2 linked regions of the Coturnix japonica genome follow. The protein of the gene in region 1 interacts with the protein of each later gene in a pairwise test. Links are inferred from orthologs where the notes say so. Each region holds a gene or a part of one and is shown on either strand. Other genes may lie near its edges. The genes, in order: RAB3IL1 and RAB11A.

Region 1 (15,800 bases):
CTACAGCACCGTCACAATGGTGCTGGTGAGGCAGAAGACCCGTCCCTGCACAGAGCCCACAGAGCCCAATTCCCCATAGGGAGATGGGGAGCACGGCACTGCCTGTGCGTCTGCTCCCCGTCTCTGCTGGCATCAACTTGGCAGGTCCCCCTGAGCTCACTGCTGCACCTGGGGATCAGCTGACACTGACCAGCCTTTGGGAGTCCCCAGCAATGAGGATATTGCAGCAGCAAGCCAGATTTGTCTGTGCAAGTTGTGTTACCCGCTGCATAATGCTGCAAGTGGACACGAGCGCCTATTGCAAGTGCAGGGAACAAAGAGATACAGTGGACAGAGAAAAGCCAGAGGAGTGATGAGCGCAGATGCACAAGAAGATAGACAGACTGATCAGCTAATCTTGGAAGGAATCTTTCCGCTCTTGTGAGGATACTCACAGTCACGGGCTCCTGAGCTGCACTGGAGACGGTGGAGGTTTGGTCCTGCATGTGTCCTCGCTGGGTCCTTTGTGGCCAGCACCACAGCTTGCCTTTCCTTGCCCCCTTGGCTCATGGGGGGATTGAACCTGACAGACGTGGTGTACTAAGGAGCCTGAAACCCACTTGGGAGCTGCAGCCGGTCACTTGATGCCATAATCCTTCCTCATTACAAAAGAGACTCTGTTGTCTTTTGCCCTGTTCCTTTCTAATCTTCTGAGTAAGCCCTGCGTGTTTATAGAGGCGGCTGAAGGAGGGGGAGGCAGGGCTGGCTGCTCCACACTGCTGCTGCTAACTCCTGGCACAGCCATGGTGGCTGCCAGAGGAGAAGCATTTTCTGCTAATTCTTTCCTGTTTGGTCCCTTTCTCTGTCACAATCTTCCGGGAGCCCCAGGAGATTATGCAGAGCTGGAATTTTGCACAAATGTTGTAACGTGTGTCCCCCTTTGGGGCTCGCACAGCCCTCTCTTCCCCAGGTGCTCCTGGATCATTTGGTTTGCAGAACACCTGACCCATGCTCTGCTAGGCTCTCAGCAGAGGTTTCTCTGTAATTCACTGCCTGTCTCCCTGTCCCTGCTGTCCTTGAAGGAGGGACTGATCCATTGCAGGGACAGAATCTGGCACTTGTCCTTGTTAAGCTTCATGCAGTAGAAGATTGCACAGCCATCCAAATTGCCAAGATCTCTCTGCCAGGCCTCTCTATTGCCAATCTGTTTTAACATCCTAATTTAATATAACACACAAACTTATTTAGTATACATCTGAGTTCCGTATCTAGAGCACTGATAAAAACATTGAAGAGAAATGGCCCCAACATGAAGCCCTGGGGAACCCCACTAGATACTGACCACTGATCTGGTGTAACTCTGTTTTCTGTAACCCTTTGATCCTGACCCATCAACCAATCATTCACTCACCATATCCATATTATTTTTGTGTCTAGTTGTATGGTGGGCATTTCATCTAGAAGCATAACACAGTATTGAAAGCTTTGCTTTTCAGCTAGGACCTCTACAGATTCCCAAGACCATAGAAAAATAATTGCAGCTCCTTGGCCCTGGAGTGAGAGGTGACATTTTTGGGGCTGAAAGGAGGGCAGGGCAGATGAGAAGAGACAGCACGATGCTTCTGCTGTGTGAGATATAGAAGAACAGGCATGGGGAGGGCCATGGGGAGAAATTCACATTCACGGTATGGAGCAAGATAGAGCTCTTATCAGTGGCCAGATGCTGGTAAGTAAGGGGTTGCTTCACTGGCCCAACCATAGCAAAGCCAACTGACTGACTGATGCAGCACACAGCTTTGTACCAGCCCTATCTGTGAGTATCACGAGCAGTGTTCACCAGGACATAAAAGCCCAGCTGTCCTGCCCTTCTGAAGCCTTATCCCTGCCAGCAATGAGGCAGAGTGACCGTGGTGTGGCTGTTACCCCAGTGTGAGCAGCACCTATCTGTGACAGGAGGTGAGGTGCCTTGGTTTTGCAGATGCTCTGGGCCAGTGTCATTCCTGAAAGTCACACTGCACTGCCTGTATTAACTGCTTTGTTGTGGGGCTGAGCTTGCTGCAAGGTCCCTGAAACACTGCTGCTGGGTTCCAGCTGCTCCCAAAGGATTTTTATAGCAAGAATCATAGTGCTGTCATCCCAGCAGGGTCCCTGAATGACTCAGGATGATGAAAATGTCTCTAAACACCCAAAGAGTTCCATGTATGGGGGAAGACATGAGAGAGCACAGGATTGGGCTCTCTCTGGAGGCAGGGTTGTCCACATGAAGGGTCAGGGTCTGGGGAGGACACATGTCTTTGAGATACCACTTTGCATACACATCTAGAGAGAAGGGATTACTAGGCAGGCAGACAGAGATAGTTCTAGAGGGCCCCAGTGCCTGAGTCCATGTCCTTTTACATGGCAAGAACAAAAATGGTTCTCTTGATAGATTTTCTGGAACTGTGGGGATTTTCTGTGATCGTGGGGACTCTAAGGAGGAACAGCAAAATCTTGAGCATCCAGCTCTTGATGGAGGGATATGTCCCTATCTGGGGGACTCTGCTGCCCTCCTCTGAAAGCAGCTCATCCAGCAGTTCATATGGCTCAGAGTTACTGTTAGGACAGCACCAAACATCCGTGGCATCTAATAGGAAAGTAAATAACTGAGGGACTACCAGTGTGGCAGCAATACTTGGATCACTTTCTGCATTCCCCGAGGCCTCAGTTCTTCCAGGCCTGAAGCAAACTGCCAGTCTGAAAGCAGCAGAGGAGGAGCAAGGATGCACTGACGTCCATCCTCAGTCTCGCTGCCTTCCCACTGTCCTTGCAGGCCCTGGAATCCTTCCCATTTTCTCCATTTTGCAGATGTGCAGATTGGGTTACTGTGACGGGAAATGAATCCCTCCCCCTGTGCTGACTGAAATTCATTTGCTGCAGCTGCCTCCGGGAAGGGGACAGAGCCCTCCCTGCAGTCTGACAGAGAACAAGTGCTTTTCTCAGGACACCACGGGTGTCAAAGCCCAGTGAAACCCCTCTCCCATCTCTGCTTTCAGTGCCAAGATAGATGCTGATGGGTTTTATTTTTTCAAACTAACACTCTTCCTCGGAGTGTGATGTAGAAAAAAAACACCAAAATATGAGAGTATCTGAGGAATTGCTGTTTTTATAGACAAGACTGACTCTGATGTTTGAGCTTGCCGTGAGCCTTTGGAGAGGATGCAGTGACCATCAGTGCTTTTGTGAAGAACCTCAGGCCTCTCACCTTTACAATGCAGGATTTGTGGCAAAAATCCATCTCATTCGGGACCCATGGAACTCAGGACAGGCTGAGGGTGCTCAGTGTGTGCTAATTGCTGTCTTTGAGGACCATGTACTGTTTGGACAGTCCTTTCTTTCCAGGTTTCCCAGCTGCTCTTCTTTTTCCTGTCTCAATGTCTCTTCCTCTGGGCTCAGGCTGAGCTCTTCCAAAAAACACTGCTGTCAGCAGGGAGCAGCAGCCGAGATCTGGCAGGGGTCAGCAGTGCTTCCAGTGCCACAGCAGGACTGTGCCAGGCTGCATCTGCCTGAGCAACACAGCTCTGCTACCCCCAGACACAAGCCTTGTTGCTCTTCTTTCTCTGCTTTTTCATTCTCCTTTTCCTCCCTGTTGCCCTGGGAAATGGGCAGCAGTTTGTTTGGTGCTTAAGGCAGATCTCGTCTGTGAAACTGGAGATCTTAGCCCCAGAGATCCCAGAGGAGCCTTGCTGGAGCCCTCCTCACCAGTTGAGCAAACATGCTGCATGGCTGGAGGGAGGGGAGCGAGTGGGCGGATGGATCCTGGAGTGTTACACTCTTGCAATAACATCCGCTCTGAGTTTGCTGGGTCAGGGCCCTACTCCTGCTTTTCAGCATCTACAGCCTTCCAGCCCTCCATCAGACAACCCGGCTGGAAACATTCTCTTGCTGCCTTTTGGACTCTGGAAGCAATTCTGCCTTTCTAACCCGAGGACCCTCCATGCTGGGAGTTAATCATTACAACTGATTAGTTCTGGTGCTGCCTGCAGAGCTGCGGATCTCCCCTTCCTCACAAAAGCTCCCAGCAGGTAACAAAGGTTACAGCCACGGATGTGGCCACCTCAGACACTTTGCTCTGGCACCTCAGATGATTACGGACCAGATGGGACTGGGCTGTAATATAAGGGAATGGCCTCCAGCTGTGCCAGGGGAGGTCCAGGTTGGATATTAGGAAGCATTGATTGACGGGAAGAGCGGCGATGCGGTGGCACGGGCTGCGCAGGGAGTGGTGCGGTCACGGTCCCTGGGGGTATTAAAGGACAGGGCAGCATCAGATACTCATCCCACAGCCCCCCTATGGGGCGGTACCCCCCCCAAATCACGGCGTGCTGACGGCAGCGCGCACGCGCATCCGCGGGGCCGCGCTTTAATCACGTGGCGCCTCGCTCTGCCCCCTCCCGTCGGGGCGGCCCCGCGGAGCCGGGCGTGCTGCGGGAATGGCGGTGGCGGGCGCTGCTTCTCCGTCCCCTCCGCCGCCGTGATGCGCCGGGGGCACGAAGCGGGGTAGGTGTGCGGGCGGCGGCTCCGGCCGTGGGTCGCTGCGGGGCCGCCCGGGTAGAGACGCGCCGCGTCCGTGCGTGCTGCGGGGCGCCACGCAGCGCTGTCAGCCGCCGCTCCCGGTGCGGGACGGGCAGCAGCCCGCAGGGAACGGCCGTGCACGGAGCCGCAGGAAACTGCGGGGTCGGAGCGGCAGGAAGCTGCAAAACTGCCGAGCCTGCACTTTTTTTGTTTGGCTTTTTCTGCGGAATCCAACTTGGGCAGTTTGTGCTGTGCTCGGCTTTTTTTGCTTGCCTTCCTTTTTAATTGCTTTTTTTTTTCGGTTCTCCTTTGCCCTTTTCTCGCGCCTGGAGGACGGGTAGGACCCGGCCCGGTTCCCGAGCAGCGCAGCCCATCGGGGCAGAGCGCAGGTGCACCGCTCCGTCGGGTGCCGTCGGCTCGCTCCGTGCCTTCCTGCCGTCCCTCCCGATGCAGCAGCGCAGCGCTCTCCTGTACTGATAACTTTCCTCCGAGAGCTCGAGTCACGAGGAAACGGCTCTTATCTCTTTTTTCCCTTCCTATTCCATGCGAATAGCTGGACTCTTAGTAGCTAAGCGGGCTGTTGTGGTGTCCCTTTCTCTCGTCTCTTTCTTTCGCATCTGTTTGGTCCTGATTTCGGTTTTCCCTTTCTGCTCTGTTTCTTGTCCCCTTCTGGCCGTCCTAGGGAGCTTCCTGGCTAATGCGGGAGTCCCCGAGCCGTGCGCTCGCTGCAGTTTGCCTGTCTGATCTCTGCAGGGAGGGATTCCGCGGGGCCATCCGAGATTTGGTTTAACTATTGAACGAACGCCTCTGTTTGGAACGCTCTCCCTGCTTCGTGGCAGATCCATCGCAGAGAACCTCCCCTGGCTTCGTGCGGCGAGGATGAATTGGTTTCATCGAGTCTCCACCTTCCCGTGATGGGCTTCGTTCCTTTCCATTGGGTCGTTCCTTTGCTCGATACCTCCCCTTCCTGAGTGGGGCCCTTGGAGACCTCCTCGTTCCATAGCAATGGCCCTCGTTAGGTAAGTGCTGCCTTAGCTCATCTTGACCTTTCACTGATTCCCTGAATGTGTCCAGAGAACAGCTTGACTACAGCCAGTGCTGTGCTGTCTGAACACCATGCAGTGTGCACCATAAGTGCTCTCTCTTGCACTTACAAGAGTAAGTGCTGGCGTGGTCTGGGAGTTTCCACTGGTTACAAGTTGCTCACTCAGATCTATGCATCCGTGTGTGTATATGGCATTTTTATCGGCAGCTCCAGCGTGCTGAGTAGCTTCAGATTAATTATCTTTGCATGGCAGTGCTGTCTGTCGTTTTCCCTCCCCAGCGTGCTCCTTTATGTTATTTATTATACTTCCTAATAGCATTTATCACCAGAACAAGCTCCTTCTAGACCTAGTAAGACCAGGTCAAGTCAACCGTTCCTTCTGAATCCTTTCCTCCCTTCCAGCACTGCTTAAGCTCTCTTACTTATTCTATAAAGAGACTGGCAAAATCTATGACACTGACTGCATGCTGCCCCTTCCCAGTTCTGTCCAGTTTGCATGGCATGGCATCGTGGATGGTCCTGTACCCTTTCTCATCCCATGGCTCAAAGAGGTTTCTCTTAGTGCGCATTCACACCACTCCCTGTGGTACCTGAACTTCTTTGCAGGAGAAGACAGCTGGCAGACCACACTTTCTGCCACGTGGACAGGCATTCAGGCATGTGTTTTCCTCTTGTAACACACCAGCAGCTGCAAAACCTACCCAGCCTCTTCCTGCCCTGTGGGGTTGAAGTCTGGATCTGAAGTGAAGGGGGTCACGGTCTTTGTATTGCTATGGAATGTCAAAGCTGTACTGTTTTTTTTCTTTGCTCCTCCTGTGGTTTGGGGAGCAGCGTCCCTGAACTTAGGCCGATGGAGTGTTTGCTGGAATACTAAATAAGCCAGCTGTGGTCTGTTTTTCTCTGAAAATGCTCAAGAACGGCACTCCTGGAATAGCTGTGTTTAGTCTTGCTTTGTCCTGAGTTAAATGTCTGAGATGTTCTGTTTGGGAAGGGTAAAACGAGGTGTTATAACTTTGCCTACTTATGTTTTGTGTGTAGAGAGTTGTCTGTGAGGCAGTACTTTGCTGTTGAGAAACAAGCCCTTCTTGCCAGGAGTGCAGGCATCTCACACTGTACTTGGTGCGATTATTGAAGATCCCAGGATAGCAGAGATTTCCTCCCAACTCATTGCTTTGGGTCACTGTCTCCTCTCTGTTGCTGTTCTGAAAGGAATTCATGTCAAAAGCGCGAAGTAATCCAGTAGGGAAGCAATATCTGTGTGTATATCTGGGATCTTTTAAGAAGGAAGAGAAGAGAAATGGCCAGGCTGTGAATTTTGTATGTCTGTTCTGCCTTCAGTGTTTGCTTAGGGTCTGTCTGAGCTATGAGGGACTTCAGGGCTGAAACTCACAGATGAGTGTTCCCCATCTTCATTTGTTCTGATTTGTTTGATGCTCACGCCTGCAGCAAATGAATCTGACAAATATTTTTCCTGGCCTTGGCTTGTATTTAAGAGAGGGCAGTACGAGGAATCTGGTGAGCGGCTTGTTTAACCATGCTTGTAACAGTATTTGTGCATGAGCAGCTTATTCCAGTTACATTTCTCAGCTCTCTCAATCTCTGTTTGAAGAACTGGCTGCAAGAAGATGGTTTGTTTGACAAGGATTTATCCTTAGAAATTCTGCTGAGGGCAGGCAAGCCCAGCCAGCAGGCAAAGGAGCTGGTGCAGCTCTGGGACACAAAAGAGGTCCTCTAAGCCAGTTTCTTTGTATGCCTTCAACCTGCCTGCTTCACTCCTGTGCTCTTGGGAGCCTGAAGGTGCAGCACAGCTCACTACTGAATGTCCTGTTCAGTACGGTACCCCTCAGCCTCCCTGAAATGTTGGGTGAACCCAGGCTGGTTTGTCTTGCTGTTGCCTCTGAGGCTGTTTCTGAGCCTGGCAGGTTTGCTGATCACCCCCACACACAGTTTCACTGTGCCGGTTCCCTACAGCCAGACCCATTTTGAGGAAGACAGCCAGGAGCAACCAGCTGTGGGATACTGGAAACCACTAAAGCCATCCAAAGGCAGCAAGGAGGAGCCAGAGACTGGATGCCAGGATGCAGGCTGTGGGGATGACAGCCAGTCCACTGAGCAGCGCAACGTCTCGCGTCTCCGCAGCTCTTCGGTGGAGATCCGGGAAAAGGGCTCTGAGTTCCTGAAGGAAGAGCTGCACAAAGCACAAAAGGTAAAGCCTAGAGCCTGTGAGAAGAGCTGAGTGTGGAGGCACTGAAGGACATGGTCTAGAGCAGTCACAGGCATGGGTTGGTTGTTGGGCTAGTTGATCTTAGCAGTCTTTCCAACCTTAATGATTCTGTAATGTGGAGCCTAGTCATAAACGAGCAATTCCAACCTGAAAAGCCTGCTGCAGCTTGTGGAGGGATGCTTCTGGTGGCACAGAGTGCTGTGACAGGAGTCTCAGGTCCAGGATCAGTGCAGGGGTATGGAGGGGAAGGGGTGTGATTTGTAGGTGAGCCCAGGCGGGCATCAGCACTGCTGGGGCCTGCTAGCAGCTCATGCATCCCTCTCCTATTTCCTCAACAGGAGCTGAAGCTGAAGGACAAAGAATGCGAGAGGCTGTCAAAAGTCAGAGAACAACTGGAGCAGGAACTAGAAGAGTTAACAGCTAGCTTGTTTGAGGTACCACCCTCTTCCTTTTCCCATCATTTCTTAAGCTAAGCTTGCTTCCAATTCCTTTGAGGTAGGCTTTCTCTGAACTTCCAGCCATACTCCTGTTAAACTCCCACAGCTTCCTCAGTCTTTGTTCATTTGCATTTGGAAAGCTGCACAGTGCTGCGGGCAGACCCTCCCAGGGGCTGGTACTTGCTTCTGGGGAGGATTTGCATACGTTCCTTTCCCCCCCTCGCAGCTGTGGGGTGACATAAAGAGCACAGCAGGTTCCATGGTTACAAACCTAAATGAAACCAGACATGGGGATGCCCAGAGCTAGAGGTGAGCGTGGCTCCCTGGCCTTCTCTTGCGCCTGCTCTGTAGTCTGAACAGCATCTGCTGTGGCTTGCTTTTTTTGTTTGTTATTGTTAATTTTTTGTTGTTGTTATTGTTAATTTGATTATTGTATGATGCGATCCCATGATCCCATTTACCAACAGCTTTAATCTGTAGATCTGACTGGACAGTGAGGGAAGCCAGAACCCAGCTGTACCTGTGAAACACAAGCTGGTGCTGAGTGTAAGGTGAACTCAGAAGTTCAGCTGAGGGCTTCCTCCTTCACCTGGTGGCCTTGGGCAGAGTGCTTCCAGGCAGTGCTGTGGGGTGGTTTCATTGGGACTGGTACCACCCACCTCACCCTTCCTGTGGGATGTTGCTTCTAAATTTAGTCCCTACCTGAGCTACCACTCCTGCTGCTGTGCTGCAGCTGTGCTCAGAGCAGTGAGGACTGGCTGCTCCATGTAGGAGTTAGGAACAAAATGCAGTAACGAATCAGGTAAGTGCAGCAGGGCAGTGACTGAATGAGGAGCTGGGATGTGGATCAGTGAGTCTGGATGAGGATCTGTGCCAGTGACAGTGATCAGGGTCAGAAACAGTCTACTGATGAACCAGCAAGTCTGCAGTGGTGACACACGTCTCAAGTCATGCCAGGAAGCTAAGCCAGTGTGTTTGGATCAGTCATAAAAGTATTGGACTACACAATTATGATCTAGCATGGGTGGATGCCAATGTTAAAACCTTGGCTTTAAAGCATATCCCAAGGGCAGGAGGGGCAGGCCATTTCTTCTGGCTTTTTTTGCACCTTCTGTGATTGGAGAAGATAACCTTGGGCTCAGCAGATGAACTGTTATGTTTATCCAGCTGCGCTGTTGGGAAGGGGATGCACTCCATGCCCTGACGCTGAGAGCCCTTTTCTGGGAAATTATGGGGGGCCAAACTCTTCACATCTGTCAGAGTAAAATAATCAGATGTGGCAGTGATGTCTGTGCACCTGCCTGCTTGCACAGAGCATGAACAGGGCAGAGCTTTGGCTGGCCCTAGTGACTGTATGAGATGGGGCTGCCACAGACAGACTAAAACTCTTTCTGGTCTAGGAGGCACACAAGATGGTGAGAGAAGCAAACACAAAACAGGCGGCGTCAGAGAAGCAGCTGAAGGAGGCATGGGGAAAGGTGAGAACTGCTCACTCTGTGGCTTGATTTCTTTGCAGGGTTGGTGTTGATCATCCCTTCCTCTTAGAGAAAAGGGTGTGAGGGGAACCACATAGAAGCAATCTACTGTCTAATTGCTGTAGCCATGTGGTCAGAGCTTGATGAGGGTGCATTACAGGGCTGCTGGATTGGTTCCATCTTGGAAATTGAAATTACTTCTGGGTTATTGTGTCTAAAAAGAGACTGGAGCAATATATACTCAGACAGAGGAGCAGTGGGATAGGTTCCCAGTTAGTTCTTGTTTTCCTCTTTAAAAGTTTGGCTGACAGTGGGCATCTGGGAGGATGGGGAGCAGGCTTCATGAGTGTGCTTGCAGTTGGTTCCCTGCGGCCTTACAGTGTTGGGTGCAGTGCTGAAAGTTCAGCAGATGCTGAAGGTGCTGTTGACTCTTGCCTCGTCTCTCTCAGATCGACATGCTGCAGGCAGAAGTAACAGCTCTGAAGACACTTGTGATCACATCTACACCTTCCTCCCCAAACTGGGAGCTCCACCCTCAGCTCCAGAGCCCTTCTAAAGCCGTCTTCAGGAAAGGCCATGGGCGAAACAAGAGCACCAGCAGTGCAATTGTCACAGCTGTCAGCCAAAGTGCAACTCCAGCACCAGTCAGTCGTGAGTGCAAAGAGGTGGGTGAGGGCTGTTCACTGCACCAGCCTCGGAGCCACTGCTGTTTCTGTGTCTGGGAAGTTTTGCTTGGATCTGACTGAGAGAAGCCATCCATGCAGTAGGCTGGTTTGCTCCCTAAACCGTGCTGATGAGGCAAACTCTGGAGGGTTTCTATTTGTGGAGATTTCCACTTCTGGGAATTAAGTTCAAAGCTGCATTAGGACAACTGCTAGAGGAAGGAGCTGAGGCACCACTGGAGGGTATGGGCAGACCAAAGAGTTAGCAGTGCTGAGAATGGATGTGGTGGGAGTTGCTGAGCAGCAGCCAGTTGTTCTGATGCATCTTGGCAGTTGAGTCTGCTGCCTGTTCTGGCGTGATTTGCTTTTGTTCTTTTTTCCAACTGGTTTGACTTTCAATGATCCAGGGCCTGGTTTTGGGCTCCAAGACTCCTCCACCAACTTCTGTCAACATCTCCATTGATATCTCTTGTTCTCTGTTCTTGGGTATGCCACTGCTTCCTTCTCTTGCAGAGCATATGTTTAATGTTTGCCTTTCTCACTGTGTGAGGATGTGTATGCAGAAGGGCAGCTGGTGAAATTAATATTTCCACCTAACAGGAGGACTGTGCTGTGAAAGGCTGTTTGCAATTTCAATGGATTTACTTTGCTAATTTCTGTGTAGTGCTGTTGTTACTAGTTTGGATGGAACACTTCAGGCAGTATCGGCTGTAGCTGTTCTGGGGCCTCTAGCAAGATGATCCTTAACTCTGTTTGCAGGCAGAGAGGAACAAAGGCTATGTCCAAAAGAAGACTGAAGGAAAAATTAGTTCAATAACTGTGAAGCCCTGCTGTACTTGTTTCTCTTGATCACAGAACAAACCAGATATGCTGGAAGTTGTAGTCAAATACTTAGTTGGCTAGAAGCTAATTTGAGAGCTAGGGAGAAAGTGGCTTTAATCTTCTAATGCCCTTTGTGCTCTCCTGATGGTTACCATTCCTCTCAAGTTATTTAATGGCCCGTATGAGAGGTGGCATGAGGGAACCTGGCATTCAGCTTGGTGCTTTATGGAAAATTTGTCCCATCCTAAATTGTGCCTAGAAGTTGCAGCATTTCTGTTCTGTTTTAGCACATCAATCTGAAGTTGGAAGGTGTAGTTTATGGCCTTGTGATGCCATAGCATCAGTCGTAGTTCCCTGGAAAAGAAGCCTTGAGTCTCTGCCTGTACCTTCTGTATTGTTATGGTTTTTTTACTTCCCTTTCTTGCCTGTCACTCTAAACGTGTTCCTTCACTGTCTGTCTCTTTCTCTCGCCTCAAAGTCTGGGGTGCCTGCTCTCCTCTCTCTGCTCCTTTGTGTCATCCCTGGGAAGGCCATCCAATTCACCTATGAGCCAGGCTGGCAGGCACTGGGGGCAGATGTTTCCTCACCCTTGCGGCAGGTAACTGTACTGGACAGGATTGGAGAGGGGTGGGACCCATCCAACTCTCACACTTTCAGCCTTTCAGTTCTAGCTTCCTTTTATGCTAACCTCCATTTTTGTTTTGTTTTCCTGAATTTGTTTTTCCATGTTGTGGCTCTGAAGCTGTCTGCTGGTACGAGGTGAGCGGTCCCCATAGCATACAACAAGTGTGCTAAGTCTCAGACCTCTTTCTGTTTTGTTCCTTCATGATTTTTGTATTGTTTGGCATGTTTTTGTAGTTCTGTTTCTCCTTTCAGCATCTTTAACAGGATTTGCTGGCCTTTTAAACAGCTGCCCTGTTGGGTTGGTGGTTGGGCTAATACCTGAGGTTTAAACGTCAGTTCCAGAGAGTCTCCAACACTGACGTATTTCCAGTCAGGCAATGTAGGAGGGATCAACCTAATCAAGGCTCTGTCCTTGAGTACCTTGCTGCTGAGGAGTGATAATTCTTGCAAGCCCACTTGTAAAAGGCAGTGAGCAATCGCAGCAATCAGGAAAGTTATTCCCACTCAGGTTTGATGTTCCACTTGTTCCTGCATGCCAGTGAGATTGCCCAGTATTCCCATTACTTCCTCAACTCCCCAGATACCAGAATTCTCAGTTGAAGTGGCCTTTAAAGGGCTGGCGTGCTCTGTTATTTGGTCTCTCTGGATGTAGTCCTGCTGATATTAATAGCTGCTTTTTTTTTTTTCTTTTCCGTTTTTCATCCTTTTCTATAGCAGTCCTTTCTTAAGAAAAGCATTCTGTGTCTGGGTGTCGTTACACTGTGCTTTGCCATTCAGATCCTCTCGCTGTTTCTGCCATGGGCACTTGCTCTGTTCAGCAGTTGTGTGGTGGCTTTTCTTCAATTGTGGTGCTGCCTTGTCCTGGACAAAGGTGGGAGAGATGCAGGTTTCTGGCAGAATGTGCCCACCTTGGCTGGATGGGTCTGGCACACATCTGCAGATGGGTGAGAGACAAAAGGTCCTTGGAGAGAGCCAGCTTCCCTCAGGCACTTCTGTCATACTTGAACCTTTCTAGATGCCAAAGTAGATGTTGTATAGTTAAGTTGCCTGTGCATTAGTTATCTTAGACATGGTATCTCTTACTCTACCTACCTTCTGTCTTCCTTCTTCTCCTGAATATTTACTGCAGATCGACTCCATTTTATTTGCCGAGTTCCAGTCCTGGAAGGAATCTCCAACTTTGGATAAATCCTGCTCCTTCCTGGACAGAATTTACCGAGAAGATGTAGGACCTTGTCTGGACTTTACTAAGCAGGAGGTGAGTGCTGGTAACTGAGGACAGAAACTGCATGTTCTGGTGGCATCAAAGGTGCATCTTTAGGGAGGTGACCTTTGCACATCCATATCTGCAGTTATTTCTCTTTGCTGCAGCTGTCTGAGCTGGTGCGAGTGGCTGTGGAGCAGAATACACTTACCATTGAGCCTGTTGCTTCCCAGATGCTACCTGTGGTGGTGTCAGCAGAGGACTCTGGTGGGCCAAAGTAAGGAACCTTTCTTGTTCTTGTCCCCTCTTTGCTATTGGTTTTCTCTCACTGCCTCATGGAGTTGGCTGAGTCGGGTACCATGGCTCAGCTGAGTGTATTTCTAGCCCAAGATTAGTGGTAGTTGAGTTCCGCTTTCTGAACTCTTCACCAGCTGATGTAATTCTTCTTGGATATACTGCAGTTGAGTGGCTGGGAGATAATGTAATAATGTGCTAGTGCCCTCAGCTTGGAGGAGTTTTACTTGTTTTCTTTTCCTACTCAAGAGATGAACTTCGTTAATATTCTCTGAAAGCTTTTGCATAACGTAGGGTATAAGGGCTGAGTTAGAGCTGCGTTATCTCACATTCTTGTATCTTTGACCCCCAAGCTCACCTTGTGCTGCTGACATTGCTGGTGCTCCAGGTGGATTTGAGCTTGGCTGAACTTTTCCTCGCTGCATATATGTAATCTTTCCCTCTTGATACTGTGTCTGTGTTTGATGTGACAGATGACTTAGGTTGTTTCAAGGAAGAGGAATGCTGGCAGGAGCAACATCATCTTTCAGAGTAAGACAGGGGACTTTCAGTTATTGAATTTGGTTTCATTTGAGGCTCTGTCCCTTAGTTCTTCCCCCTTCCCTTCAAGCACAGCACCTTCCAGGCAGTGGTGTTCCTGTAATGAATGTTGCTCATGTGCAGGCTTCCTACTCCTCTCTTCTACATTTTTTTTCTCATCTCTAGACAAATTGTTCCCCCAGCATGTGTCAGAGCTCTGCCAGGACCAGCCCATCCTGTGTTTATCCTTGCTGGTTTCCTTTCAGGCTTTTTTCCCTCTTCACAATGTGTTCCAATCATAAATTGTAAAGTATTACTAGGTGATCAAGGATGGCTGATCTGTTAACAGTAGTTTAGTGTGATTAAGTGGCTTTGAGGCTAGAGCTGAACTAACCAAACTCTTTAACTCTATTTAATTTCTACCTTGACCAGGTGTTAAGGAATCTTGCTATTGATTATAAATGGGTTTGATTTGTTCCCTGGATAAAAATGCAAGGTTTTGCGGCACCTTTGGTTGTGCTGTGTTGTAGAAAGAAGAAAGCTTGGTCCCTTTCACCCTATGGTACAGACTTCATTGCAGTGCTTTTAGGAGTGCAGGCAGCAGCTGAGCTTGATAGCAGTGGAAAGCAAGCACCAAGGTGTTCTCAGAAGCTTTTTGGAACGTCTGCTCCTTTGTATGTTGTCATCCTCCACAGTTCCCAGAGTAACTTTTGCAGCTGAGGAATGGTGTCCCTCTTCCAGCCATGCAGCCATTAGATCTCCGAGGAGCCATGGTAATGACATTGCAGCCACAAATTCTGCTTTACTGCTGAAGGGGAGGTTACTGGCTGGTACAGGGAACTGTTTGTCTTCAGAATAATGGAAGGAAATGGCAAGAAAATAGAGGCGTGCTGCACCCTTGCTGGTCACATCTTTTTGTGATCTTTGTGGGAGCCATGCTGTCTTGAAAAGGGTACTTTTGTCATCCTTTGTCTGAAATCTCTACAGTAGTAAGGCTGAACTTCTCCATGCTAGCACAGGAAGGGACTGGTTTGTTCTTAGGGACCTGAAACCATATCCAAAATCCCCTGAAGTCAGCACAAAGTTACTCCACTTGGCTTTCAAGTCTGAAATAAGGAAGAGGAGCCTAGCATAAAGGCTGCATTGCAGCTAGTTTTCAGTTCTCGGAACGAGTTAGTGGAGTTTGTGCTAGTTGGTGGTGAGAAAGTGTGATACAAAATCTTTAGGCACTTTAGAATACCTGACAGCTTCCTCTTGTAGCTCATTCAGTCATTTCATTTTAAATGTAACACCAGATGAGTGGCTTCCCTTGGATGTGTTTTCCTGTGGTGTGGCAGACTTGTACGTTTCCCAGTAGTGTGGTGTGTGAAATCCATGCAGGGATACCTTGAGGAACACCTTGCGTCCTGTGTTGGAGGGTATTGAGGAAACGTGACAAGTCTGGATGAAGTTCAGTGTCTGGCCAGCAGGGGGATGATTATGCTCAAGCATTGGAATATCTGTTTTGAAACTGCTTTTTGTCCCCAGCTGGTAGCTATATATCCCACCAGGAGAGCTGAAACACCTGGACAGAACTCCTTCAGCAAAATCCTTGCATGGCAGAGATGCATGGAGCCCAGAGGACATGAGTTATATTCTGCTTTGTCCTCACCTCTTTCTGTGGTTCTGCCAAGGGTAACACCTTGGTTTGCTTGAGCACGGGTACCAGATTTTTAGCTTAAGTCTCCTAAACTCACTGTTTGTGGAATCTTTCTAGGTTGAAAGGCTAATTATCAGCTGCAGTTGGTTTGTTTTTCTTTTCCTTAATGCTCACTGATACGGGTCTGACTTCTGAGCTCCACCTTCCATCTCCTGGGGATGTACTCTGCTGTTCTGTGAGGTTGCTTTATAGCCTGGTCTGTTTTTTTTTCCTCTCTCTCTGCCTGCAGGAAGTGTGCTCTAAGTGGCCTCCCCAGGACCTGCAA
Region 2 (15,288 bases), on another chromosome or scaffold:
TTAATCCGTGTTATTTTTAATTTTTTTGAAACCAGTAGCATTTCTGGGGTGTGAAACTAGGCCTGAAGAACATCGTGTCAAAATTAACATTTTTTTTTTAAATGGCAATGTTCAAAGGAGGACTGCAAATAGGATGCGAGATGGAAGCCTTAACAATGCAGCTATAAATACACCCCAGCCCCCACATGTAGAGTATTCATTATTAATTGTAATGCACTACTCAGCGCAGTAGATCAGCTTCTGAAAGAGGCTGAAGAGAGAGGAGCAGTTACAGACTCCACATCTCATGTGTTTTGAGCTCATCTGCAGACAAAAAGGGTCAGTCCAGAGGTTCAGGCTGAGCCCAGCCCCTGATGCTCCAGCTCACCTCATCAATTGTGCTGGGGGGAATTTGGTTCTGCCCCACATCCCTTCATTATTAGCATTTTGTTTTCTTCTCTTGCAAGCTCTGAGGCAGCAGGAAGCATTTGTAAGCGGAAAGGATCAGGTTATGGCTCATTTTCCTCCCAGCAGACAGTCACTGATGCTGTGGGTGCCTGGGGGTTTCTCTCCTCACACAGAAATCATCACATTGCTGCTGAGTGCTGAGATGGCCAATATACTGAGAGCAGAGCGAGGCTTAGGGGCCTTGGTTTGAGCATCTGGACACCAGGGCTACTTTTATGCTTTTCAAATTAGGTCTCCAGCCCTAATGCAGGAGAAAGGAACTGGCCTTAGTGCCTGAGGGTGGCAGCAGGGCCTCAGTGAGTGAGGCCTTTGGAGCCCTGTTGCTGTCCTGGCACAAACCCTGAGGGCACAAACCCTCCTGGGGCTGTGCTCACCCACTTCACAGCTTCAAGTTCCCTTTTGGCAGGTCTCATTTCCCTCAGGTAAATGCAAATATGTATGCATGCATATTTTTAGCTGCTTTTGCTTCCATAGCCCTCATTCTGAGGGTAGCTTTGCTTTCTCTGTACTTTACTACACAGTTGAAATAATGCAAGTATAAGGTACAGTTGCAATAATACAAATATAGTTGGAAATAGACAGCTAGAGGGTATCCAAGGATAAGGACTCACCAGTTCTGAGGCCTTCAGTCAAGGCAGGTGCTCACCAATGTAGAGACTCACCACAAGAACTCCACAGATGAACAATCTCCAGACAAAGATGCCACCACAATGGTGGTCAGCCCTTAAATGGACTCTAGGAGAGGTGGAGTCAAGGTCTAAATTACCTTCACCTTAGTCAAGGCTAAATTACCTTCACCTGTGCTCCCACAGCTGGCTCATCACTTGCCTCAGATGGTTAATCAGAGGTTCAGGCTGTGATCAACAGTTTCCCTTACACTCTATTTTGACCCTTCTACAGACAAAGTTCCGATCTTTTCCCTTCCCCTCAGCATCTGGTCACTATTTCAGCTTTGTACCTGATGGTCCCAGATACCATTTTGTGCCTCATGAACTCAAATATCTCGCTGCTATCTCCTTCAAGAGCAGTGCCACCATTACAGAATCTCACACAATTATAGGCTTGAACACTGCTCATGTCCTGGGCTGTGGGAAGACCTGTAGGACCTGGTGGGCTTCTCCTTAACCCACCCCAAACTGAGCAGTGCTGAGAACTGTGGAACCAATGCCCTGTTTTACACTGTGGTGAGAAGGATGCCCATACCTCACACGGGATAAAATACAGCCAAAAGGATACAGGAGGTGTTACCCTGTGTGTGTGAAGGACCCTCAATGGGAAAGGGAGACAGGAGTACTATGGGCCATAGTTAGAACATATAGGGGAAAAAAAAAATACACTTAAAGTGAAAAAGTAGAGGTCTCACTGAGATTTGAACTCAGATCGCTGGATTCAGAGTCCAGAGTGCTCACCTTTACACCATGGAACCGCGGTGACAACCACCTCACCCGGCCGCCTCTAGTCCTTACTCCGCAGCACGTCGCGCTCCCACCGCGGCTCGTCCCGGGGCTGTGACTGCTCGGCGGACCCAGCGGTGCCCGGCAGAACTCGGCTGTACCGGGCCGAACTCGTAGCGTGCCCCACCGGCAGCACCGTCCCTTTAAGGCCGGGCGGGGCGGGAGGACGGAAGCAGCTCCGCGGCGCTGCCCCGGAAGGAGCTGGCCGTGGGCGGGCAGTGCGGAAGCGCTGAGGCGGCTGCAGGGAGGGGTTCAGCACCCGCTCCCGTCCCCGGCCCCGGCCCCGTCCTCGGCCTCCGCCACACCTCGCACCATGGGCAACCGCGACGACGAGTACGATTATCTCTTCAAAGGTAACGCCCGCATCTCCGTGCCCACCCGGGGGGGGTCACCAAGCGGCTCCGGCCCTGAGGGCCTTATCACAGCGGGTGGGGAGCGCGGCGAGAGCTGACGGCCCTGGGTGGGCTGAGGGCGGCGGGCGTCACCGTGTCCCGGCGGGTGGTGGCGGAGCAGGAGCTGCGGGCTGAGCTGTGTCACATCGGGGAATGATGCAGCTCATTTAACGCAGCGTTGTCTCTCGCTGTCTTTAGAGCCTCGTTCACAGCCACGAGCTGCCGAGACGCAGCGCTGGAGCTGCAGGCAGCGCCCGGGCTCCTTCTGGGAGCGCTGCTCGGCTGTTGTGCTGTTGTGCTGCCGTTTCGATGCTGCTTTTGTAGTGAGGTTCAGAAATTGGGTCTTTGAGGAGCTGTGGAAATAGCTGCTTATTGCTGTTATTACGTTGGGAAGTGGGATGTCGGATTTGGAATGTCTGCATTATAATAATGAGAGACAACAAGCTTGAGTGGTGAATCTTGGGTACTTAAAGGAGAACAATATTCTGTTCTGTATCCTTAAGCTCCAGTAATAACTTCAAGGAATTACAGTCTCATTGTCTGTATTGTCCAGTTTCCAAGTAGAAAACCTTGACCTGTAAGTCAGTCACTTGCACTGTTTAAGGTGAAGCCAGGCAGCATTAAGAAGAGCCTGTTTTCCCAGCTGGCAGCACAGGCCCTGCTGACCGCCAGCGTCATCACGTCAGCAGTTTGTTTTGGAGCCCGAGGTGTGCAGGTTATCGGAGGCGTTTTGTTACCTGTACTGACAGAACTGTGTAAATAAACTTAGAATTAATGCTTTGACAGCGGTGGGAGTATCGGCCATGCAGAGCTTCTTGATTAAACCGCAAAATAATACGGTTGGGGTTCATTTTCATAAGGGGGAGGAGAGGGAGGAAATCAAAGCTAAGTGAATTGATTGCCATTCCTAAAGCTTTTCATGTTGGAGTAACACATGGAAACTGCTGCAGTGCAGGGAGTGATAGGAAAACGGTCTTGTGGCGATGAGTGATTCAGGTCCTCCAGAGTTAAAGCAGGAACTCCATGCAGTGCTGCATAGCTGGGATTAATGTGGCAGCTGAAACAACATATCCAGAAATGCAGTGTAACCAAAAATTGTGGAAACAGTTCTGAGGACCCAGAGGAGCTGGTGTTGCCAAGTAGTCACTGCTCTGGAATGATCTTGGAATTAGTGAGTGGTTGTCTGAAATCGCTGTCTTGTTACCAGGCACTGCCCCAAAAGGCAAACAGTCGAAGTCCTTGGAAGAGGAAATGAGATGGTAGGGATCATTCCTCCGGTGTGTGAGCCCAAAACAGGAATCCCCTGGGGACTGCAGGAACATGTGGGCAGTGCAGGTGTACCAGTTTTGAAGGCAATATTGCAACTAAGAAGATGCAGGAGGACATCAAAATAATCAGTAGGTTGACCCATATTGAAGTGACGCTTTATCAAAACTAAAAGCAATAAGGAAAGAATATAAAGTCTGTATGTGGACTTCGGAGTAGTTCGTTGCTGTAGACAAAAAGCATGCATGGATTTGGAAGACTGTAGAAACTCACAGAGGAAGAGATGTGTTGGGCACCTGGGTGTGCTGCTTACAGCGCTGTGTCTGGGGGCACTGCTGCTTGAAGATGGGAGGGCTTGCTATGCAGAGGTTGGCCTGTTTGTTCTGTTTGTTGCTGTCAGACTGGTCTATCAGGATGCTCAATCCAGGCAGGCAGTTCATTGGGGTTCATGGACTCGGAGGGATGTTGTTGGTGGGACTAACTTCAGGTTTTGATGTGCTGTAAAAGAATCCAGACATATTTTCTAGCCTGGCTGTCTCTTATTGCTCTTGAATTAAACTGCTGTTAGTGTGTTTGTGTGAGGTCTCTCTTCTTGTCCTGTTAACAGCAGCTCCATGGCAAAATCTGGCTGCTGGTGGTGTTGATAGGAGCCCACTTGTGCTGCTGCAGTTTAATTGCAGTAGCTGTTGTGCTGCCCCTTCCTGGCTCCACTGCAACAGCACTTTAGTATATGCTCAAACCTAACAGGCCAGGCTTAAAACAAGTCATTTTCTGGTAACTTCTTCATGTCCAGCTATGTGTGCATGTGTGTCCTTCCATGCTAAACCAGCTGGTTTCATTGAGAGAACAGAGCTGGTATCCCCCAGCAGCATGCTGCAGGAAACCCAGGGTCTGTGAAGCCCACTCCATAGAATTCTTGCTCCAATTTTAACAGGAAGAGAATATAAGTGTTGACATGAGGCTTAAATTATTGAGTAATATCCTTACTGAAGTGCAGCAACTTTTAACTCTTTGATTAATGTATTTATGGTTAATGAGTAGGAGCCAAACCAGCCCTCACTTCTGGAATATGTCTTTGGTGTTTTTCACAGACAAAGCTCAGGAGGATTAGGTTTGTACCCTGACCATCTGGAACTTTGGATTTGAGGTCAGCTTTCTTGTTTCCGAATGCAGACCTGGCTTGTAGCGGCATTCAGCTGATTGGTGGAAAAACTCCTGTTTCAGCTATCTGCTTCCTTGTTTGCGTCATGTTTATTACTCCAGCTTTTTCCTTTGCTGAAGGAAACTGAATCTGAACAGAGCTGCTGTTTTGACTTCAGACAATGCATTTTTTTCTCGTGTTTTTGTTACAGAAGTCTGTAGGGAAATGCAGTTGAATGGCAGGTAGTGATTCTTACAGTGGTAGCAATCCCTGCTCTTAGATGTGGAGGCTCTTTTGGGCTGAACAGACCTTCTTGCTTTGCTGTTATGCTGCACTCATGTTTTGGGTGGTGTGTAGTATGTGTGGGTAACAAATAAGCCTTACCCTAAGGTGCCTTTGGAGCATATGACGCTTTGAGACAGAAAATGGATGATATAGGTGATGGGGAGACTGATGTAAGACACGATCACATTAGGTTTGTCACCAGCTGGCTAGGAGATATGGAATCAGGTCATCTAATTCTCATTCCCTTTAAATCCCAATTGAAGTAGGCTGGAAGAAGTGTTCAGTAGGGTCTTGTGGGTGTCATAATGTGTTCAGGCTCTTTGTTTATCTGCCTCTTAGTAGCAGAGCTCAGTGCAGACAGGAGTGTTCTCAGACACTGTAACCCCTGACATGTATTAAATGGTGTAATAACCTTCCTGCAGCCAGAAGCAGCTAACATTGCTAGACTTATTTTCAATCTGATTAGGATGTCAGTAGTGTATTTTATGAGCTAGTAGAAATTCTTAGAAAATATTTCAATTAGAGGTTTAACAGAAATAAAATGTGAGTGAGAGTTGGGATGTTGGTGAAAGATTAATACATCTCTAAATGGCTCTTCAAGCAAGGAAATTGAATTCTTATTTTGGTCTTCTACAGAAATAAAACTGGGATTGCAGAATGAAATTCATACAGTCGCATGGACTGCCTTATTCTTTTTGTCCACCACATGCTTTGTTGCAGTGCAAAGTGCTGTGGGCAGTAAATGCATCATTTCAAATAGCTCGTGGTCGCACACAGTGAGCTGCCACATCACTGAAGCAGCAACAGGGAGCTGCCTGTAGTCAGCTGGGTTAGGGGATCCCTCCTGCTCCTCTTGGGTTATTCTCAGGCTGTGCCAATACTGGTGCCAAGAAGGTTATGATGAAGAAGGTTATTATGAAGGATGTATTTGAGAATTCAGCTTATTTAGGTGGTAGAATGAAGCTGAGAAGATGCGGCTGCTTTCTGTAAATACATGAAACAGCATAAACACCGCTGGGAGAAGAAACTAATAAGCTAATGGGCAGTGCTGGCACACAAACACTGCTACCAGCTGACCGCTAATTTCTTCTGAAAATTAGAAGGCAATTTCTAACCATTAGAGTGAGTTTCTGGAAGAGAAGCCCAGTAAAAGCTTGTGTGCAGGAACAATTAGCTTTGATGTGGAGTTAGATACCATCATTTCCCTCTCGAACTGTTTGCCTGTGATAGTTAAGAGTTGGGCTCAGGCATTCAGAGTCATTCCTGCTGTATTCCTCTGCTGAGAATGCAATATATGGGAACGCTGTGTAGTGTGAAATATCAAACTGAGGTGGTTTGATAAGGAAAGCAAAACGACAATTAATGAAATAATCGGAGCGATGGTTAATGCTGCTTCAGTTCATCATTGCATCCAAAGAACTGGTGGAAATGCAGAAGGTGTGAGGAGCCTTAGGTACCCGCTGACACTGCAAGCTGTTCCTGTGGCCCAATTAAGTAGAGGAAATAGCCGGCTTCAAGGAGGAAAGTAAAATATTTCCTCTTTTAATTGAGACACGTTAATCTGGCACTGGAGAGCACTCAGACATAAGTGGTGTGGCACTTAGATGAGGTGAGGAAGAAACCTGGTGGAGGAACTGCCCGAACTGTCCTTGGAAATGTGCAGTGAACAGCAGAAATACTTGTGAGGGCGGTAGGTAACGGATGGGATACGGCCTCTGGGGAACACAAAGTGATGCGTGTGGACAGCTTTCCTCATCTAGACAAGTTTTCAGCCCAATGAATACATTTATCCCAATGAATATAAGCATGATGTCATCTAAAACTGCAGCCTAAACCTGCTGAAAGAGTATTGAAGATCTTATTTGCCAATGGAAGAGGAAACGTGTGTCAGTTTGCCTTGTGGTGATGATGTAATTAGGTACCCTGACCTCTGCACTGTCTTTATCACCCTTGGGCATCCTGTGTGCCAGGGAAGCTGCTCTGTTGTGTCAGGGCAGCTGACACCAAACCCTGCTGAACTGTCATGTGGGCAAACAGATCCTGTTTGCATTCAGTGTACGTGCATGCCACTCTCACTGTGGGTCCTCCTAAGAGAAGTGTTAAAGCTGTTCTTTGCTTTCTGCAGCCTCAGACGCTTGGCAGGCTGCTCGCTGAGTCAGCTGCTGGAGGGGCTGCAGTGTGTCGGTGAAGCATTCTCTGTAAGGCTGCGTGAAGCTGGTGTTCGCTGCAATTCTCATTCTGTGGAAAGAATTTAGTAGATGCTTCTCGGCTCTTACAGTGAGGGAAAGCCCCGTTTGTCACAGTTGTGCATTATGTAAATAGGGAACGGTGGCCAGAACTCTGCTGTGTGATGCAGCAAACAGTGGGAGGTTTTATGCTGCTGGCCTGTCTCGCTCCTGAGCTCAGTGGACTCATTCCTCTGTTGTACCACACAGCGTAGTTAACACTGTGCTGCAACATCTTAAAGCTGAAATGATGTTTATTACTGTACAAACACTTATTTTTTTTTCCCAAAACAAGTAGAGTTGTGCTGTTTTCTTGTCACCCATGGCTCTCCTGCAAGGATGTGAGGGGTGTAGAGTGAAGGCAGCCTGCCCCGTGTGCTGGAATTATGCTTCAGCAAAACACCTCTGTGGTTTTTCTTGTTTTAATCCTAGCGTTGTCACGAGGATGTGAAATCTAAACTGTCTCTGACTTTTGTACTTTGCCATGTGTGTTTTTCCTGGAGGAGGAATGTGATTCAGTACAAAACAAAGGAGACTGAAATGGTAACTGCTGAAAACCATGTCTGAAGTCTGTCTGAAATGCTGGTGTGACAGCACTGGTTATCTGGAAATCTCAAGGCTTGGACAACAGACCCCTGACAAGGAGGGAGGTGGTTCTGCTATTCTTGTCCTTTGGGTTTTATTCTGGAAAACAAATGTATTCATTGCAGGTGGTTGTCAGCAGATATTCTACATCTGGGATGTGATTCCAATGTCATTTCTTTCTTCTAGTTGTCCTTATTGGAGACTCTGGAGTAGGCAAGAGTAACCTCCTGTCACGCTTCACACGCAATGAGTTCAACCTGGAGAGCAAAAGCACCATTGGAGTAGAATTTGCAACAAGAAGCATTCAAGTCGATGGGAAGACAATAAAGGCTCAGATATGGGACACAGCAGGGCAGGAGCGATACCGAGCTATAACATCAGCGTAAGTGGCAGCCTGTATGGCCGGAGAGAAGCTTTTGCTGAGGAGGGTGAACTTGGGGCCCTTCTGATTCCTCAAACTGCAGAATAGGATGGTTTTATTTTCTCTTATAATATCTACATATAATATGGGGAAAGGAAGCTTGAATGTTATTCTGTCCTGAAGCTTGACATAGTATGAACAGATTTACTTCTCACTGCTCTCATGATATGTAACTGGAGGCGTTTCTGAGCTGAGAGACTTATTTAAATGCAAGTCACTGATGAAATAATAGCTGTGATGATGGAGGTTTTATCAGTGGTAACCTATGACCAGAACACCTCCTGTATCAGTAGGGAGGCACTGCTCACTTTGTGTGTTTAATGAAAAAAACAGCACAGCTAAAGCTCGATTTGAATAAAGCTGGAGGTAATTGTGGGGTGGGAAAGCACAACCTCTTTCTTTTTGAATGTGTAACTGTGCCTCTCCCTGGTCTGAGAGGAAACCAAATGGGGCATTTCATAAAGAGAACACATCAAGTTGATGGTTTTTTTTTTTTTATGATCCAGTGAGTCATTATAAAGTCTTCCTGCTGCTCCGGGCTGTGCCTGTGCTGCACCCACAATGGTGGGTGGGGAGCCTTTCAGGTGTGGGTCAGAGGCTGAAGGTGACAGTAGATCCCCCACAGATACAGTGCTTCATTTTTGAGGTGCAGGGTAACCCACCAGCCCCTGAGCTGCCCTGGCTGCTGTTGTGGTCACACGGATTAACCCTGGTCTGGATGCTGTATTTCAGCTGCTTCAAGTCCCATGTATCATGCTGTGTGTTATTATTATTTTTAATATAACTGTCTTTGCAGTAGTGGGAAACAGTTATTACTCAGTAGCTTGTCACTTTCCATCATGTTTCTTGCTGGTTCTGTAACACATCTCTTCACCCACAGGTACTATCGAGGTGCTGTAGGGGCATTACTGGTGTATGACATTGCTAAGCACCTTACTTACGAGAATGTCGAGAGATGGTTGAAAGAGCTGAGAGACCACGCAGACAGCAATATTGTAATCATGCTTGTGGGAAACAAGAGTGACTTGCGCCACCTGAGAGCAGTCCCTACAGATGAGGCCAGAGCTTTTGCAGGTTGGTGAACTCAAAAGAATTTCCTAATTCAAACTGTCCAGACTCTGCCTACCTGATGTGAAATACGTGAGTGTACAGGTAGGAGGGAAAAGACTCAGTGCCACGTACTGCTGCATGTCTTTTTTCATTCAGTTAAAATTGAAGTCCTATAGAGCCTGTATGCTGATAGACTCTCAAGAATCTGCCAGAGGCACTTGAAAACAGTTTTAAAACAGACTTAGTTCCGTGCCTATGCATTGCTTTTCTTGTAGAAGCTCTGCTGGTGGGTTTAGGTTTGTGTTTTGTGCATGGTTTCAGATCATAAAGAGGAAAACCCTACAACTTTTAATGCTTTTTTTTTTAGCACTAATGCATCTATCTCATCAGCAACACCTCGTACGTTGTCTGGTACAAAAGTTCTTTTGGATGGGAGATAAATGTTATACATCTCTAATTATAGTATTTCTGTCCACACAGAGAAGAATGGTTTGTCATTTATCGAGACATCTGCTTTAGACTCTACAAATGTGGAAGCAGCTTTCCAGACTATTCTGACAGGTGAGTCATCTAATACTTTGTGTTTGGAGGAGGAAGGGCAGAACGCTGCTCTGATACGCAGCAAATAGGCATTTATTTGCCTATAAAGTGTGTAAAATTTAGCAATTCAATCATTCCTCACAGCTGTAATATTCAGACGCTGCTTTTGAAGTGTCATAGTTGATAGACCAGCACAGGGCTTGGGAATGAGTCTGGTCTTACTCACTTTGCTCTGCCCTGGGTTTCCAGTCCGCCTGGTTTATGTGCTTCACTTTCCCATTTGTGGAACAGGGAGTGGCTGTGTGAGAGAATTGTCTGATGCCCACCTCCACACAAAATGGCTATTGTCAGAGGAGAACGCAATCTACCTTGTTTCCATCACTATTAGTGAGCATAACAGCTGCCAAGAAGTGAGCAGTACTGTAGTCTGGGACGCAGTGACTCCTGAGTGCAGGGTGGTTGCTGTCAGTGCATATAATAAACCTGGCTGGACTTCTGGCCTTTGTAGCACGTGATAGCACTGACTGGTGCTGTTTTCATGCTCAGTGGATGAGGTACTTCCTTTTTGTTTAACCCCTTTGTCTGATAGGCGTAACTTCTCGCTTCTGTGACATTGGCAGCTAGTTAGATTTTTTTTTTTTTTCTCTCTCTCTCTCTTCTTGGCAAGTAATAGATACTTTCTTACACAAACGCATCATAAAGGACTTTTTAGCCATATTGGAACATGCAGTGCGGGAGGTAGCTAGAAAATTAATAAATATACATTCTGGAGCATTTTCTTGGGTTGTTTGAAATATATTATGAGTACCCTTGCAGTGGGGGGGTGGTGAGAGAGAGATCTAACTGCCCTCAGCCCCTTCGTGGACCACTCTGTGCCATTGCAGTGATGACTGGTGTGCTCTGGGCTGCTGCCTGTCTGTGTGATGCTCAGATACAGTATACTGCTGTTGTTATGGAGAAGCAGTTTACCTGTTGGGCACGCACTAGGCTGTTTCTTTTCTCTCTCCTGGTATGCTTCCAACAGCACTTTTTTATTCCAGAAGTTATTTTGGATTCTAGTTAGTGGAGGTTTGATATGCATATATATATAATATATGTATTTTTTGTTTGTTTGTTTTTCCTGGTTTTATTTCTGGAGGATAGCAGTCTGTAATGTGAGAGCAAATGATTAAGATTAGCCCTCAGTGGACTCTGACAGAGTGTTGGGGCTGTTGCTTTCTGAGAAACGTCAGGGCTCCCTGTGTTGCTGTGACAGTGTTTTGAACTCTTGGGCATGCGGACAGAATCCTTCTTGAGGAAGGGCTGGTTCAGCTGTGCTGGAAGAAACACTTCTGTTGATTAGTGGGCACATGGTTTGCTCCAGACATCAACTCCTGTTTCAGGGAGATAAAGATGAAGTAAATAATACATTAGCAGAGGCTTGCCTCCATCTCTGCTGTAACTGGCATGCAAAGGATGAATGTTCTGCCAATAAACTTCTTGATAACACTTCACAGCTGGCTATTTGTGTTAATGATTTGCTTTGAAGGAAAGAGGTGAGCAGTCATCTGAGGAATGTGGTTTTCAGAGTGACCCTGTGGAATCATGGATAGTCTGTATGTATGTGGCTGGGTTGCCTCCAAATGTAACCCTAGATGAATACTTGCTGTCATTTGAAGAAGAAAGTTGATAAAGCCAACAGGCTTTGCCACAGGCATCGTGTGGAGGAGGCTGACAGAAGGGGCAGGGCGTGCTGCTGCACCAGCTTAGTTAATATCTTCCATGCTGGGAAGAGTGCTGCAAAGACATCTTAGGCTGCTGTCAGTGCCTCTCAGCTGCTTAGATCTTTCCTGGACAGGGATGTCTTGACTGAGATCTGGAGCAAAACTCCTTTGTTTCCCTGCCCTACGGAAGGTGATCTGGTTGGGACAGTGGTCTACACCTAGATTCTCAGATGAAGCCACCTTAGGTCGATAGCTTTGGGTGTAGGAAACATGGATCTATTATAGTTAGCACAGTCTTAAGTGAGTGTGTGGTCTGTTGTTACAGATGGTAGCAGAAGAAGAAAACTTTCCTTTTGTCTTGCTGTGTTATAGATTTGCTGGAGAAGGGCAGTGGGGGGGGCAAGGCATTAAATCTAGTACACTTCCTCTCCTGTTGTTTGTACTAGGTGAGTTTTGGGGACCTTTTCCTTCTATGGCTTAGAATAATGGTCCCTGTCCAAGCTCCTCTGTTGTAAGATGTCTAGACTTCAAGGGCTAATTCTTGTGCACACAAAGCTGCTTTGTATTATTTGGCAAATATGAGAGACTGGTGTTTTAATCTTATCCCCTGTGAGCATTCACAGCAGGATAAAGCATCCTTAAAGTAAACTGGAGTCAGCCTCCGCTCCCTGTCTCATTCAGTGCTGCCTCTGTTTCTGTACCACATTCTTCTGTGGTTTCATCTCTAAGGAATCCCATCTCCAAGGAAACAACATCACAGAGTACTGACATTAAGAACATTTCATAAGAACAGAACAAGAGGGATTTCCTCTTTTTGTTAGATCTATACACCTGAAAATGAATGAAATACTAGCCCTGGTTGAACAGACAAGGGCTGGGCAAACAGACAGCAGTTGTTTTTGTTGTTTTTTTTCCCAGCTCTTACAGCACAAGGCCTGTCTCACATGGTTACCAATTACGCAGAGAAGCATTCTGCTGACTGCGCTCTTAATAAGGTCTCTTTCAGTTACTGAGCAGAGCATGAAGTGTAGTGTCTTCATTAAAAAGTACGCATCTTCATTAGCTTGGCATTCCTCAATACAGATCAGTTCCAGTGTAGGCTTTGCCTCTGGGCATTTTGCTGCAGGAAAAGCAGGTTTAAGCTGTTCCTACCTCCTCCATCACACCAACACAACTATGTGTGGTGAAGGAGTGCAACTGTCATGTAGGGCAAAGTAGTTTTTAACCATTCAGGCTTTGATCTAGAGCAGCATCCTGCGTTTGCACAGCAGAGGAGCAAGAGGTGGCAGTGAGCAGAAGTGGAGCTGCTGCAGGTTGACTCGAGCAGTACTGCTGCTAGATGTTCTAGCAGGTCAGAGAGTGAGGATCAGATGGAAATGCACCAACCACAGCCAGAGGAGAGATCCCCTCTATCAGCAAAAAAAATTAGCACTGTTATTTTTAAGACTTTTGTTACGTGCTTTGAGATGAGGATGTTATGCAGAGGACATTGCTTATAGGGTAGGGGTGGAGGAATTGTATGACAGCTCGTGTTGGAGAACGATATGAACTTAATCAGGAAGCTGCAGGTATATGGAGCAGAGAACTTGTCCTGAAGAATGCAGCGCAGATCTCTTCCAACTGTGCTCCCTCTATCTCTGCACATGTGCCCTTTGCCTGCCATGGGGCAAAGCTGATCTTTATTTCCAGATTCCCCCATAGGCTTACAGGTGGCTTTTAAGATCTGTTGTTGTACGCTTTCCTCAGTCTTGCTAAGTTGTTTGTACGACATGGAAAGAACAGGGAACTTCACAGCTGATGAAATAAGAAAATCTTGCTTTGTGTCTATGATTTGGTTGCATCAGTGACCTGATCTTAACTGAATGTATTCAGAAGATCCAGCTTTCTGAGCAGTCTTGCTATGTGAGTTTGAGCCCTCACTCTAGAGGCCGGACAAACAGATTCTTTACAGTGCAGCTTGCAAAGGGCAAAGTTCCCTCTACAGACAATAGATACAGCACATTACCTGTGAGAAATTATCACTTGGTCAGCACTTACATGGATGTGTGCAGCCCTGCTCTTACTCTTCCTGGGGAGCACCCAGCCTGTGTTTGTGTTGGCAGCTTAAATCAACCCAAGCTTGTTGCATCAAGGGCAGGGTTTGCAGGCCTTGTTTATCAGGAACCTTTTTTAGCTCCTCAGTGCCATCGGTTCTCATCACAAACACAGGCACATAGCTGTGTGACCAGCCCTTGGCAGTGAACAGGACTTCTCTACACAAGGTTACTCGGTTTCCAGTACTGAAATGATGTCAGGATGTGCACTAAGCAGCAGCTCCTTAAAATTCTGAACTACTCAGTAATGACAAATCTCTGGTGGGAAAGAGGCATCTTGGTCTGGGGTCAGACAAGGTGCTTGGACCTTCAGTATCCAGAGACTTTAGACCTACAAAAGAATTTGAACCTTTGTGTTTCACTGAGGCTATTTGCTAGCAGTGCTCTGCTCTGCAGACGCCCTCTTCTTGTGTGACCTGAGCTTATCTGGAGTGCCCCAGCAGGCAAATGGTGCGGGCAGTGCTGTGTGCTTGGTGCCAGCACACTGCTCTGTTGTGTAAAGCAGATGTGGTGATGTCATCTCAGGGTCGGCTTTTTGCTGAAGCTGGAACACTTTTAATTGTTTTGAATTTGCAAGTGAGTTCCCAGCATTCTATTTTTGGTGTCCTTTATTTCCTTTCTGGGCGAAGTGCTACACGTCACGCTTCTCTATGCATGCTGAAGGGAGTGGCTTTGTACCTGCTCGCAGTGTAAGTACAGCACATACTATTGGTCACAGGCAAATCCCAGGGACCTGGCAAAGCTTTCAGTGCAGGCGATAGGAAAGGCAGGGCAGTTTAACCTATGCTTTCTGCTGGGATTTCTTTGTCTGTAGTCAGTCTTCTCCACAGTCCTGAAGCTGTTCTGCACTAACACCGTGTTCTGAGAGCCACGAGATCAACTGGAAGGATTTGATGGTATAACATGGTGGATTCTCCACCTGTACTGAGAATCTGGATCTGTCTTTTTTTATTGCTTGTGGTAAAGCAGTTGTGAAAGAAATGTGTTTTGCAAAGATGGTTTATATTTAATTTATAAATACAGAAGGCATCACATTTGAACTTCTTGTGAAAGCTGCTGTGCTTATCATTGCAGAAGTGTGGGAAATCTGGGGAAGCCAAGAATTGCAGAAAGCAAAGATGTTTGCTTTCTGATGTTGCTCTGCATGCACGTAACGATGGGCTCTTTCTCATCTTCCAGAGATCTATCGTATTGTTTCCCAGAAGCAAATGTCCGACAGACGTGAGAATGATATGTCTCCAAGCAACAATGTGGTTCCCATTCATGTCCCTCCAACCACCGAAAACAAACCAAAGATGCAGTGCTGTCAGAATATATAAGAATTGTTCACTCTTTCCTAAAAGGCTGTGTATATTCCCCAGGTCCAAGATTTAAATATATTTGTAATTCTTGTGGTTACTTTCTTGTGTTCTGTTACTGCTTATTCCTTTTGAATTTCTCCATGTCTTAAACACTTTGATTTCTGTGTTTATAATCTATTGCTTCTATGTGGCTGCAGTATTTTCCCAACGCTGACTTGTTGATTTTGGTTCAGTAAATAGTTTGGAGCTGAACTGATCTCTTTGCAGCGTGATGCCCGCTAGTCAGAACACAAGATACATTTAGTGAGCACTCGAAGATGTAATTCTGCTCCTTGCAAAACAATTATTGTCAGGTTAACTAGGAGAATATCTCTGGGCAGGATAA

Evidence for each region.
Region 2: the proteins of RAB3IL1 (region 1) and RAB11A interact in a two-hybrid assay, tested with the Homo sapiens proteins (2 studies listed by BioGRID and IntAct). The two-hybrid records come from large-scale screens. The link is inferred for Coturnix japonica from reciprocal best matches to the Homo sapiens genes RAB3IL1 and RAB11A.

The regions. Positions count from the first base shown.
Region 1 is NC_029520.1:7,926,085-7,941,884, forward strand, and holds the start of RAB3IL1 (guanine nucleotide exchange factor for Rab-3A), read left to right. Parts: upstream 1-4,371; 5' UTR 4,372-4,515; intron 4,516-5,283; exon of another isoform or gene 5,284-5,369; 5' UTR 5,370-5,535; coding exon 5,536-5,549; intron 5,550-7,546; coding exon 7,547-7,781; intron 7,782-8,137; coding exon 8,138-8,233; intron 8,234-9,636; coding exon 9,637-9,714; intron 9,715-10,160; coding exon 10,161-10,376; intron 10,377-11,673; coding exon 11,674-11,793; intron 11,794-12,948; coding exon 12,949-13,077; intron 13,078-13,190; coding exon 13,191-13,300; intron 13,301-15,764; coding exon 15,765-15,800. UniProt on the Homo sapiens protein: Guanine nucleotide exchange factor (GEF) which may activate RAB3A, a GTPase that regulates synaptic vesicle exocytosis. Promotes the exchange of GDP to GTP, converting inactive GDP-bound Rab proteins into their active GTP-bound form.
Region 2 is NC_029525.1:16,448,164-16,463,451, forward strand, and holds the start of RAB11A (ras-related protein Rab-11A), read left to right. Parts: upstream 1-2,101; 5' UTR 2,102-2,214; coding exon 2,215-2,254; intron 2,255-7,981; coding exon 7,982-8,177; intron 8,178-9,096; coding exon 9,097-9,290; intron 9,291-9,746; coding exon 9,747-9,827; intron 9,828-14,781; coding exon 14,782-14,921; 3' UTR 14,922-15,288. UniProt on the Homo sapiens protein: The small GTPases Rab are key regulators of intracellular membrane trafficking, from the formation of transport vesicles to their fusion with membranes.